Linked DNA regions of Xenopus tropicalis. The protein of the gene in region 1 interacts with the protein of each later gene in a pairwise test. Links are inferred from orthologs where the notes say so. Each region holds a gene or a part of one and is shown on either strand. Other genes may lie near its edges.

Region 1 (4,215 bases):
TGTCTCTTTGCCTGACCTGTCTCTTTGCCTGACCTGTTTCCTTGCCTGACCTGTCTCTTTGCCTGACCTGTCTCCTTGCCTGACCTGTCTCTTTGCCTGACCTGTCTCCTTGCCTGACCTGTCTCCTTGCCTGACCTGTCTCTTTGCCTGTCTCCTTGCCTGACCTGTCTCCTTGCCTGACCTGTCTCGTCTCCTTGCCTGACCTGTCTCCTTGCCTGACCTGTCTCTTTGCCTGACCTGTCTCCTTGCCTGACCTGTCTCTTTGCCTGACCTGTCTCCTTGCCTGACCTGTCTCTTTGCCTGACCTGTCTCTTTGCCTGACCTGTTTCCTTGCCTGACCTGTCTCTTTGCCTGACCTGTCTCTTTGCCTGACCTGTCTCCTTGCCTGACCTGTCTCTTTGCCTGACCTGTCTCTTTGCCTGACCTGTCTCCTTGCCTGACCTGTCTCTTTGCCTGACCTGTCTCCTTGCCTGACCTGTCTCTTTGCCTGACCTGTCTCTTTGCCTGACCTGTCTCCTTGCCTGACCTGTCTCTTTGCCTGTCTCCTTGCCTGACCTGTCTCTTTGCCTGTCTCCTTGCCTGACCTGTCTCCTTGCCTGACCTGTCTCTTTGCCTGACCTGTCTCCTTGCCTGACCTGTCTCTTTGCCTGACCTGTCTCCTTGCCTGACCTGTCTCTTTGCCTGACCTGTCTCCTTGCCTGACCTGTCTCTTTGCCTGACCTGTCTCCTTGCCTGACCTGTCTCCTTGCCTGACCTGTCTCTTTGCCTGTCTCCTTGCCTGACCTGTCTCTTTGCCTGACCTGTCTCTCCCAGCTGACTTGCATGTAGGAATGGAAGTCCTTTACATACAAAATGCATTAGTGATAACCTGTATCTCAAAGACTGTCTCACCAAGAGTCTTTCATGACTGAACATGAGTCTCATTTACTCATTTACTATACATGAACGTATATATTGGCCATTTTCCTCACAAAGCATATATGCTATAGCTTTTCCCAAGCGTCTTCTTTTAAAATGTCGGCCTTATATACCGCGTCATAAAAGTATTCAGTCTATTAAATATACATGTTGTTCTTAGAAATCTCCCCCCCATAAGTCATACTCTCATTTAATCACGACCTCAGTTAGTCGGCACAACTTCAACATGACTCAAATATGGCGCCTTAATTTGCCACCTCCAACATGGCGCCCCGTCCGCCGATTTCCAACTCCAATATGGCGCCGCGTTCTGAATGCTCCAATATGGCGGCCGCTCATTGGCTGAACGAGAGAAGCGTTTCCGGGCGGAAGTGAAGCATGTTGACATCTGATGTCAGAATCCGAAAGGAAGGGCGGAGGAGTTGAACCTAAAATATTTGGATATTAGCTGCAAATAATTTCTTAAGAAAAAATGATCCCCTCGGAGGATAGCTCCGCCAGGAAGAAGACTATAGAGGAAAAGCTTAAGCAGGTATTTTGTTTTGTTATTAAATCTCACATTAATGTGTGTCTGTCTGTCTATATTGTCTTTTACTATAAATGTCTTTCACTCTATCATCTATCTTTCTCCTATTCACTATTTATATATCTATCATGTCTTTTACTCTATCTATCTATCTATCTATCTATCTATCTATCTATCTATCATCTAACTTTCTATCTATCATCTATCTATGTATGTATCTATGTACCTATCTATTTATCTATCTATCTATCATCTATCTATGTATCTATCTATCTATCTATCTATTTATCTATCTATCATCTATCTATGTATGTATCTATGTACCTATCTATCTATCTATCTATCTATCTATCTATCTATCTATCATGTCTTATACGCTAAATGTCTCTATCTCACTCTGTCATCTATCTTTCACTCACTCACTCTATCTTTCTCCTATTCACTATCTATATATCTATCATGTCTTTTACTCTATCTATCTATCATGTATCTATCTATGTATCTATCTATCTATCTATCTATCATCTATCATGTCTTTTACGCTAAATGTCTTTCTCTCACTCTATCATCTATTTTTCACTCACTCACTCTATCTTTCTCCTATTCACTACCTATATGTCATGTCTTTTACTCTATCTATCTGTCTATATATCAGTCTTGGCCTGTAATTCAAAGACACTGGAGCGAGGTACTTCAATACATTAATGAGAAATTAGCTCTTTCGCTCCCCTAAACTATGCTTACTGGGAATAACAGGAGCCCTACAGCTCCGGTCTGACTCCAGGATGTGCTATTTACAATTGTTATATGATGCTAAAAAGGCAAAGCTAATGCAATGGAAATCTCTTGATCCCCCTGCTACAATACTGGCGAAAATTAGTAGATGATACACTTACCTATCTAGCACGAGGCTGCCTGGGAAAATTTGACGCTATATGGGACACTTGGTTAAACATATAAAATGTCTGACTATATATAAACTTGATTCTGTCAAAGTACACTAAACGCACTTGCCTCACCTTAGTTTTCTCCTAGCTTCTCTCTCTTACTCTGTAATTGTTTAAATATTTGTTTGAAAATTTCAAAATAAAAACTTTAAAAAAATAAATACATTTGCTACTCATTCAGAACTGATAGTGATGAAAAGCTGCTGAGAGAATGGATGTAAAGAGGAAATGAGAAAAAGAATGAAAATGGAAAACAGAAAGGGAGGAGCACATAACTGAAAAAAATAAAGGACTCACACAATGTATAACTGTTACAGAAAAAAAATTGTCTTTGATATGTGCGGGTTTTATACATGTCCCAAAGCTCACTTCCAACAGACATTTCCCTTTATCTTCCATGTTGTAGGAAGAGGAAACCTTAGCCTTCATCAAGGAGAGCCTGGAGAAGAGCGATCAGCTGACAAACAATATGGTGAGTGTAGCTATTAATATGGTGCTGGGAGTGTCGCTGTGCCCTAAGCTGATTTAGCATTGAAACACCTGTACAAGAATGGTGCTGGGGCAGTGGGGCAGTAGTGTAAGTGCTTCTGCCAGGGTGATTGTAAGCGGATATGTGGCTGCTGATAGAACAGTACAGTGCCCACAGGTGGGGGTATCCATAACAGAAAAATGGTTACATTATATCACCAATTGGCACAGTGTGACCTATGGCTTTCTCTTCAAGACATAAACACTTCCCACTAAGCCTCTATTTCTTTCTTTCTATCCCTTACACAGGTCTCCATCCTGTCTTCTTTTGAGAGTCGGCTGATGAAACTAGAGAATTCCATTATTCCCGTGCACAAACAAACAGAGACCCTGCAGCGGCTGCAGGAAAATGTCGATCGTACCCTGTCCTGCTTGGACCATGTCATCAGCTACTACCATGTTGCCACGGAAACTGAGCGCATCATCAAAGAAGGGTAATTTGTATTGAATTGCATAATAATACGGATATTCGTTCTAGGGCTTTCAACCTACTTGTTTGTATAGTGCAAGGGATAATGCCTTTGCTGCGTAAGGCACGCAGTTGAAAGCCGCCAGTATCTGGTAGAGATGTGTGTTTTCTTTCAGACCCTCGGGAAGGCTAGAGGAATACCTGGGCTGCATTGCAAAAATCCAGAAGGCTGTGGAATATTTTCAAGACAACAACCCAGACAGCCCTGAGTTAAACAGAGTGGTAAGTTCTTTGACACCCTGGAAGTGGTCCATTATATGTTTCACCATTATATGTTTCACCGCTTAGCTTGCAGCCTTTACCATAAAATATTTTTTTGCCGGTTCTATAGTAAGGACGGTGCTTACTAGTGTGGATGTCATGGTTTTCTTTTGCCTGTATTCTCGTAGAAATCCCTGTTCGAGAGGGGGAAGGAGTCTTTGGATACTGAGTTCCGGAGTCTCCTGCAGAGATACAGCAAACCGGTGCCCCCCATCCTCATTCTAGACCTGATTGGAACAGAGGAGGAGCTGGAGGGCCAGGAGGAGGCTGTTCTAGAACACCTACCTGAGGGAATCCTGCAGGATGTCATACGCATCTCTAAATGGCTGGTGGAGTACGGGAGGAACCAGGGTGAGAAGTTGGGTCACTCTTAGAACAGCAAACCCAAAACCTCCAACATCTCTCACTGCTCAACACCTACAAGTCCATATTCACTTCCCTTTGTCTCACTTCATTTGTTTCTCATTCTTAACCCCACCTGCGATCAACCTTTTTAGCCAACGTTCTCCATGTTGCAGATTTCATGAATGTGTACTACCAGATCCGCTCTAGCCAGCTGGACCGCT
Region 2 (3,652 bases), on another chromosome or scaffold:
CATAAAATAAAACATGTTTCTGGTAGAAATCCTTCTATCATGAAAAATAGCATTTTTTCTTTTTTTTTTTTTTGTATTTCAAGCTCTAAATCTTGTTCCTGAAGTGGAAATACACAAAAACTCAGGTAGATTAGGAAAGCTCAGGTTCTCCTGAAAAAAACTATATATAGTTTGCCTACCTAAACTTAACCCTGCCCCCAGTAAAAGCCCCTAAATTGAGAGAGCACAGAAAGTTTACAAAACGTCTGGCACTGAGGGGAACTGAAATGTCAAATTCTGCTGGCACTTAAAGGGTTAACCCCATGGTTCCTGTGTCCCCCATAGGACTAGAGTGAAAAGGATTTTATGGTAAGTAAAGAAATCCCTTTTAACATGAGGCCATATACAAACTCAATTTTGTATTATTCTGTAAAAAATGCCTCTAATTACCACTGTGTATCTATTTAGGGTCTGCACAGTGCAAGTGTCCCTGGTATTTTGGCATTGGATTTGTGTCCAACTGACACAAACAAAACTCTTACTGGTAAGGATTTTACCCACTTTCTGCTTGTCATTAATGTCTTTAGTGGAAACACAGAGAGCAATATTTATTCTTGTTTTTGCTCTTTTTCTTTTTGTCTTGTAGGTGGGGCAGACAAAAGTGTTGTTGTGTTTGATGCACTATCGCAACAGATCCTTGCTACTCTTAAAGGTCATACCAAGAAAGTTACCAGTGTTGTTTTCCACCCATCTCAGGTATGCATTTTTGGCAAATTTAAGACATACATGAAACTTTCCTTCTATTGATTGCTTTACTTGTCCCAGAGGTTCAACTTAGCTTGAATCATTCCTGTGGCTTCAGCAGTTTTTTGGAGCTAACTATAATAAAATGTACCTGATTTAGTGTGTCTACTTTGTGGTCCTAAATGTACTGTTCTGCCAACACCTAATTCAGACCCCCAATAAAAATGTCCATGGTTATACAACTACATCCACATTGTTGGGGGAAAAGAAGAAAACACTTTAACTACTAGAGCAAAATAGACTTTAATAAGTTCAGGTCCAGCCTGGTACAAAACATTCCTTTTGGGGACAATACATATTTGTTTTGTTTTTTTCTAAAACGCATCAATTAATAGAGCTTCTCCAGCAGAATCCTGCATTGATATCCATTTTATTATGCCAACAAATTCTACATGAGGTGCCACAGCCATGTGACTTGACACTCTTTACTGTTGGAGTGATATTGCCCCCAGCAGCAGATAGAACAATGGGCAGGTAGCAAGATAGCAGTTAGTTGACACCTGTAGTAATCAGAGTAGCACTCCATGGTAAAAAATCCAAGTCTGCATTGTGACTCCTCCTCCAGTTACATGAAATAGGAGAAACATTATGTTATCTAAAAGCAGTTCTAATGTGTAGCATTGCACTGAGATGGCTACCTACACATCAATATTATAACTAAAAAAACAATTTATTGGCTTAAAAATAATTTATTTACATGGTAGAGTGAATTATTTGCTATGTAAACAGTGTAATTTAGAAATAAAAAATACACCATAAAACTCATGACCAGAATCCCTTTCAATATTTGAAGCTGTCAGGGACAGATTGGTTAACACTTCAAAGGTCCCTAAATCTCCCCACCCACTTAATTAACATTCTTTATGTTTTTATTGAGGGATGATGATTTTGTTCAGTGGTTTGTCAAATTAGTTTTCTGAAGAGATGTCATTGGTTTAAAACTTTTTTTAATTACACAAATGAGTAGAGTTTCTAGGCTTAGTTAGCAAATACAGGCATTCAGTCTACTTACATATTTTGTTTGTTTTCTGGATGGCTTTGAAAATCACTAGCTTATGAATAATATATATCATATAAAGCAGTGCTGTCCAACTGGCGGCCCGCGAACCCCCTCTGTGTGGCCCCCCACCTGTCTGGCTGCTTTGATGGCTTACTCTTGTGTAAGCTTTAAATGGTATCAGTACTGTGATTAACTGGCCCCTGCATTGCTCACACCTCAGATTCAGGCTGTAATCAGGCTGTATTGTTTAAATATGTAATCCCCTGTGTTGTTCACACCTTTTAATCTCTGCATTGTCCACCCCCTGCAGTGTTCACACCTCAGGCTCAGACTGTAATCACCCACATTGTTCCCCTGTTCACACCTCAGACAAGACTGTAGGAGCAGTAGAAACCCACAAATAACCCATGCACACTACAAAAAGAACATATACTGAGGTGGTACTGCAATTAAAAAGTTTTTTAATATATAGTTATTGTACAGACTGTAGGAGCAGTGCCAGCATTGTCACTGTATGCTGGCTGTGTGTGCCAGGGCAAGCAGAGTATGGCACACACAGGCAGCATAGGACAGGCAGAGTATGGCACACACAGGCAGCATAGGGCAGGCAGAGTATGGCACACACAGGCAGCATAGGGCAGGCAGAGTATGGCACACACAGGCAGGGTAGGGCAGGCAGAGTATGGCACACACAGGCAGGGTAGGGCAGGCAGAGTATGGCACACACAGGCCAAGTATGGCACAAACCAGCCAAGAATGGCGCACACAGTCAAAGTATGGCACACGCAGGCAGGGTAGGGAAGGCAGAGTATGGCACACTCCGGCAGGGTAGGGCAGGCAGAGTATGGCACACACAGGCACTCAGGCAGGGTAGGGCAGGCAGAGTATGGCACACACAGGCAGGGTAGGGAAGGCAGAGTATGGCACACTCAGGCAGGGTAGGGCAGGCAGAGTATGGCACACACACACACAGGCAGGGTAGGGAAGGCAGAGTATGGCACACACAGGCAGAGTAGGGAAGGCAGAGAATGGCAGGTTTTTGCTGTACTACAACTATTAATATGGGTATGGTTTCAAGTGGGTGCGGTTTCAAAAAGGGGAGTGGTCAAAACTGGCTTCCATTATCGGCCCTCCACCACGTAGGTCGGAAAAATTCCGGCCCTCGGTATCACAGAAGTTGGACAGCACTGATATAAAGAATAACAATAATATTATTACTCTGACCTAATATTTTTCTTGATCTGTAGCTGTGATTCATGGGTGTATTATGTTATTGGTGTTTATCCATATTTTGAACCTGTAAGGCTACCTTTGTAGTTAACAGATTTTGTACATAGTTAACTATTCACACACATTTTGCTGTATGGGACAGTTTTTTTTAAAAATTTCGTTTTACATAATTATGGTTGTCCATAAGACAGCTGATTATATATATATATATATATATATATATATATATATATATATATATATATATATATATATATATATATATATATATATATATATAGGTATATATATATATATATATATATATATATAGGTATATATAGGTATATATAGGTATATATAGGTATATATAGGTATATATATATATATATATATATATATATATATATACAGGTATAGGACCCGTTATCCAGAATACTCGGGACCAAGGGTATTCCGGATAAGGGGTCTTTCCGTAATTTAGGTCTCCATACCATAAGCCTACTAAAAAAATCAATAAACCATTAATTAAACCCAATAGGATTATTTTCCATCCAATAAGGATTATTTATATCTTAGTGTGTATATATATATATATATATATATATATATATATATATATATATATATATATATATATATATATATATATATATATAT
Region 3 (4,209 bases), on another chromosome or scaffold:
CCATACTGCTACTGTAATTCCCTTCCTGGCCAGGCCTCCCCATTACTGTCTTACTGTAATTCCCTTCCTGGCCAGGCCTCCCCATACTGTTACTGTAATTCCCTTCCTGGCCAGGCCTCCCCATACTGTTACTGTAATTCCCTTCCTGGCCAGGCCTCCCCATACTGTTACTGTAATTCCCTTCCTGGCCAGGCCTCCCCATACTGTTACTGTAATTCCCTTCCTGGCCAGGCCTCCCCATTACTGTTACTGTAATTCCCTTCCTGGCCAGGCCTCCCCATACTGTTACTGTAATTCCCTTCCTGGCCAGGCCTCCCCATACTGCTACTGTAATTCCCTTCCTGGCCAGGGCCTCCCCATACTGCTACTGTAATTCCCTTCCTGGACCAGGCCTCCCCATACTGTTACCTGTAATTCCCTTCCTGGCCAGGCCTCCCCATACTGTTACTGTAATTCCCTTCCTGGCCAGGCCTCCCCATACTGTTACTGTAATTCCCTTCCTGGCCAGGCCTCCCCATACTGTTACTGTAATTCCCTTCCTGGCCAGGCCTCCCCATACTGCTACTGTAATTCCCTTCCTGGCCTCCCCATACTGTTACTGTAATTCCCTTCCTGGCCAGGCCTCCCCATACTGCTACACGCTAATGTGTCGGTCGGTACATGGCCCTGCATGTGAGCCATCCCTCTGTATCATGCTATGGGCGTGTGGCTGATAATAAGCCCCTGTGTGACAGCGCCCCCAGTGGGGCAGTTCCTACAAGCCGTACCTCCGTGCCGCATCCTCTGTCCCACACACACCTGCAGCTACACGGGTTACTACTAACAACACTACATACAGGGCGCTCCGCTTCACTCACTTCCCCACATCTTCCTCCATCTTTTCCACTAGCTGAGGTCACTTCCGCAACTTGTTGCCACAGAAACCGCCCGCACAATCATCTTGGGTCAAGTTAGGCACCGCCCAGCGCCAGGGCATGCTGGGAAATGTAGTAGCAAGCTATACTGACCTACGCCGCAGCTTTACGCATTTTAGGCAATAACAAACTAAACTCCCGGAAACCCATGGCGCTGTCCCTCGGCATTAGTTCCCTGGTCATCGCTTAAACCTCGCTAAAAAGAAGGAATTAATACTAGCGGACATATTTAGTTCTGGATTTACCGGTTAGAAAGTCGTGGGCTTTAACATGACCTTTTTTTATAACTGCAGACTTTTTACTCTCTAAAAATGTGTGTACGCCAGAACAACTATATCTTATGTGAACGCAGTCAGGCACCTGTGGTAATACACCTCCAGTATTAAATATGTTCTCAATTTGCATCATATCGCTTCCAACAGAGATTTAGTCACTTTCCGTGAGGACGATTCGAAGCTCAACTACACAATCAAGTTTCTGGAATAATGTTTTGCCAGTATGCAACATGGCGCCCACATACTCAGCTTCCGCTTTGTCACTATGGAATCTAGATTGTGTCCTAGGAAGTGACGTCTGTAAACAGCAGCGAGTTGTATCCGTGGCAGCTGAAGCCGAAGGGTACCGGGAGGTAAGAGCAGCTGGTGTGGGGCAGTAAATGTGACCGTTCCGGGGACTTTGGGGCTAATGGAATAAAAGGCGATAATTCTGATACTGAGCAAGTTACTCATAGCATCCAGTCTGCAGGTGGCATGTCGTTGTTACAAGCAAACATCTGGTTGCTATGGGTGACAAGCCCTTGGCAAAAATTCCCAAATTCATTGCGCTCCACAGAATTTTCAGCGTTAACAGGGCAGCTTTTGCTGATTGGCAGCTCCACCTTGTGGGACTGGGGTAGGAGACAGTCAGTCAGCAACAGATACAGCGGCATAGTAGCCTGGAACATTCCTACACTAGTATGTGTCTAATAAATAACACAATTATCTTCATTATCAGCTTTATGAGATGTACCTAGTGATTGTATTAGGCTGAGGCTGCTTACAGGGCTAGTGTAGGGCAGGCAGGACAGAGAGGGGCAGTTCTGGGGCACTATGGGGCAAACTGGCCTTTGTGCTCAGAAACCTGCAGCCACTGTGCATAAGGAAATCTCATCCTGTCTGTGCACTTAGTGCATCCATGGCAGGGGAATAAGGTAAGAGTAAGAGGCTTGATGCTATAGGGACACCCATATTTGTGTGAGCATGATGGGATCTCTCTGTTATCCTATTCAGGATAGCCACATAGTGTTCAGGGTCTGAAAGAGATCCATCATCTTTGTCCCTCATCACAAAACCGAAGGCAGCGTTTGTTAATGTTTGTATTTTTTTTTCATGATTCATATTTTCATGTTCTTTTGGTTTTTGTTTTGCATTTTAGTTCTTTCAACAAATGACTAGACACTTGGGGGCACATTTACTTACCCACGAACGGGCCGAATGCGTCCAATTGCGGTTTTTTCGTAATGATCGGTATTTGGCGATTTTTCGGAAAATTATCGCGACTTTTTCGTTGCCATTCCGAATGTTGCGCAAAATCTGGCGATTTTTTCAGAGCGTTAAAACTTAAGCGAAAAGTTGTGCCTTTTTCGTAGCCATTCCGAAAGTTGCGCAAAATGTTGTGATTTTTTCGTAGCGTTCGGATTCATTCAAGCTTCAGTATGGTGACTTTTCTTGGGCCAGGTTGGAGCTGCAGGGTGCCATTGAGTCCTATGGGAGGCTTCCAAAATCTTGCTAAGTCTGAAAGTTTCGCCCGCCGCTTACGAGCGTTCAATACGAAAAAGTCGCGACAAGATACGAGCGAATCTTAATGGCTACAAAAATTCGCGTTTTTCGCGCAAATCGTATTGGTAACGAAAAAGTCGCGACAATTTCCGAAAAGTCGTAAAGGCGCTGAAAAAGTCGCAAAATGTTCATTTTCCAATCTGAATTTTTCCAATTCGAATTCGTGTCTTAGTAAATCAGCCCCTTGGTTTTAGTGGAAATGAGTTTTTTCATGGTTTTTAGAAACCTCTAAAACCATGAATTTTAGAGTAATATAGTAAATTGCAAATGTGCCCCAGCATTTTGTGCCAGTGTGTGGTATTCCCTGTTACATCACACAATCATTACTAAGATGGGGGTTTTTCCATGCTCTGTACTGCTAAAGACATAGTAAAGCAGCCCTCTCAAATTTCTGAACAGACAATAAAAACATGTTTATTTGTACCACTTTTGTAATCAGCCCCTTTGACCTAGAAACATCAGATTTTGGGGCTAACTTTCTGTATAGATGCTTTATAGGCTCAGGTTAAAAGGCTGAAGTTCATTGATAGCAGCATCTCATGTGTAAAAGATGTATTACACTGATAGGTTCTTGAATTTGAAATAAATAAATAGATCTTCTTGATGAGTAAAGCCAAATAGATCTCTCATTTGATGCAGAATAATGGCTTGGGCAGCAGATGCCACTGTTTTTACTGAAATCTATAGATAAGGTGCTTTAATGTATGTGTTACTCCCACTCCTATCAATAAATATCCAGTTAATGAGAATGCCATAGTCCATAACATACTTACAGGTAATTTTCAGGTGGACTACCACTTTAAAGTAAAACGTAACCCCAAATGGCTTCTGTTAATTTCTCTTTTGGCAAAGAGCTACTCTGCAGCTTCCCATAGCCAACAGTTGTTTGTCACATAAATTGAACCCTTCCTCCCTCAATAAGTTACTTTCTAGGTGCTGTCACGACATGAGGATTTTTAAGAGATCTTAAGATGCCCATTTAGTCGCTTGATATATTTTAAGAATACTGTGGTGGGGGTATCTTTTAACATTTGACCAATAAGTCTGCTACCACAACTGTTGTTACTTCTCAGATGTAGAAGGCAACCGCAGGATCGTCATGTGAAAGAACCACAATAATAGCAGGAGTCAGAAGGATAGGTGGTTCTTAAGGGATTTGCCTGGCTGGTGTGAGAGAAGCTGGGGGAAATGAGCAGAATGGGCTGCTCTGATTTCTTGGTGTGGTTGATGACTGCGGGCACCATTCCCTTTATTTATTTATTGGTTTGTGGCAAATCCCTCTGGTGACATCACAGATGACTGGGTTGGGCGTGGTTATATAACTGAAAGCATCATGGCAGGTCCGAATCTGGGCCAGGAGAGAATAGGGTTGGGCACTGGTCTAATATTTGTCCACCTGCACATCACTACTTAGCTCCTTATAGCACATTGCTGAGTTGGCTTCTGTGATCCATCAGTTATCATTGTTGCCTCCATGC

The links.
Region 2: the proteins of exoc7 (region 1) and prpf19 interact in a two-hybrid assay, tested with the Homo sapiens proteins (2 studies listed by BioGRID and IntAct, with this or other methods). The link is inferred for Xenopus tropicalis from reciprocal best matches to the Homo sapiens genes EXOC7 and PRPF19.
Region 3: the proteins of exoc7 (region 1) and ift20 interact in binary tests that used the Homo sapiens proteins (3 or more experiments, as listed by UniProt). The two-hybrid records come from large-scale screens. The link is inferred for Xenopus tropicalis from reciprocal best matches to the Homo sapiens genes EXOC7 and IFT20.

What each region holds. Positions count from the first base shown.
Region 1 is NC_030686.2:45,042,274-45,046,488, reverse strand, and holds the start of exoc7 (exocyst complex component 7), read left to right. Parts: upstream 1-1,335; 5' UTR 1,336-1,390; coding exon 1,391-1,450; intron 1,451-2,797; coding exon 2,798-2,863; intron 2,864-3,168; coding exon 3,169-3,353; intron 3,354-3,504; coding exon 3,505-3,610; intron 3,611-3,777; coding exon 3,778-4,000; intron 4,001-4,167; coding exon 4,168-4,215. UniProt on the Homo sapiens protein: Component of the exocyst complex involved in the docking of exocytic vesicles with fusion sites on the plasma membrane.
Region 2 is NC_030683.2:60,615,608-60,619,259, reverse strand, and holds part of prpf19 (pre-mRNA-processing factor 19), read left to right. Parts: intron 1-447; coding exon 448-523; intron 524-625; coding exon 626-735; intron 736-3,652. UniProt on the Homo sapiens protein: Ubiquitin-protein ligase which is a core component of several complexes mainly involved pre-mRNA splicing and DNA repair. Required for pre-mRNA splicing as component of the spliceosome.
Region 3 is NC_030678.2:47,412,740-47,416,948, reverse strand, and holds the start of ift20 (intraflagellar transport protein 20 homolog), read left to right. Parts: upstream 1-1,263; 5' UTR 1,264-1,542; intron 1,543-4,209. UniProt on the Homo sapiens protein: Part of intraflagellar transport (IFT) particles involved in ciliary process assembly. May play a role in the trafficking of ciliary membrane proteins from the Golgi complex to the cilium.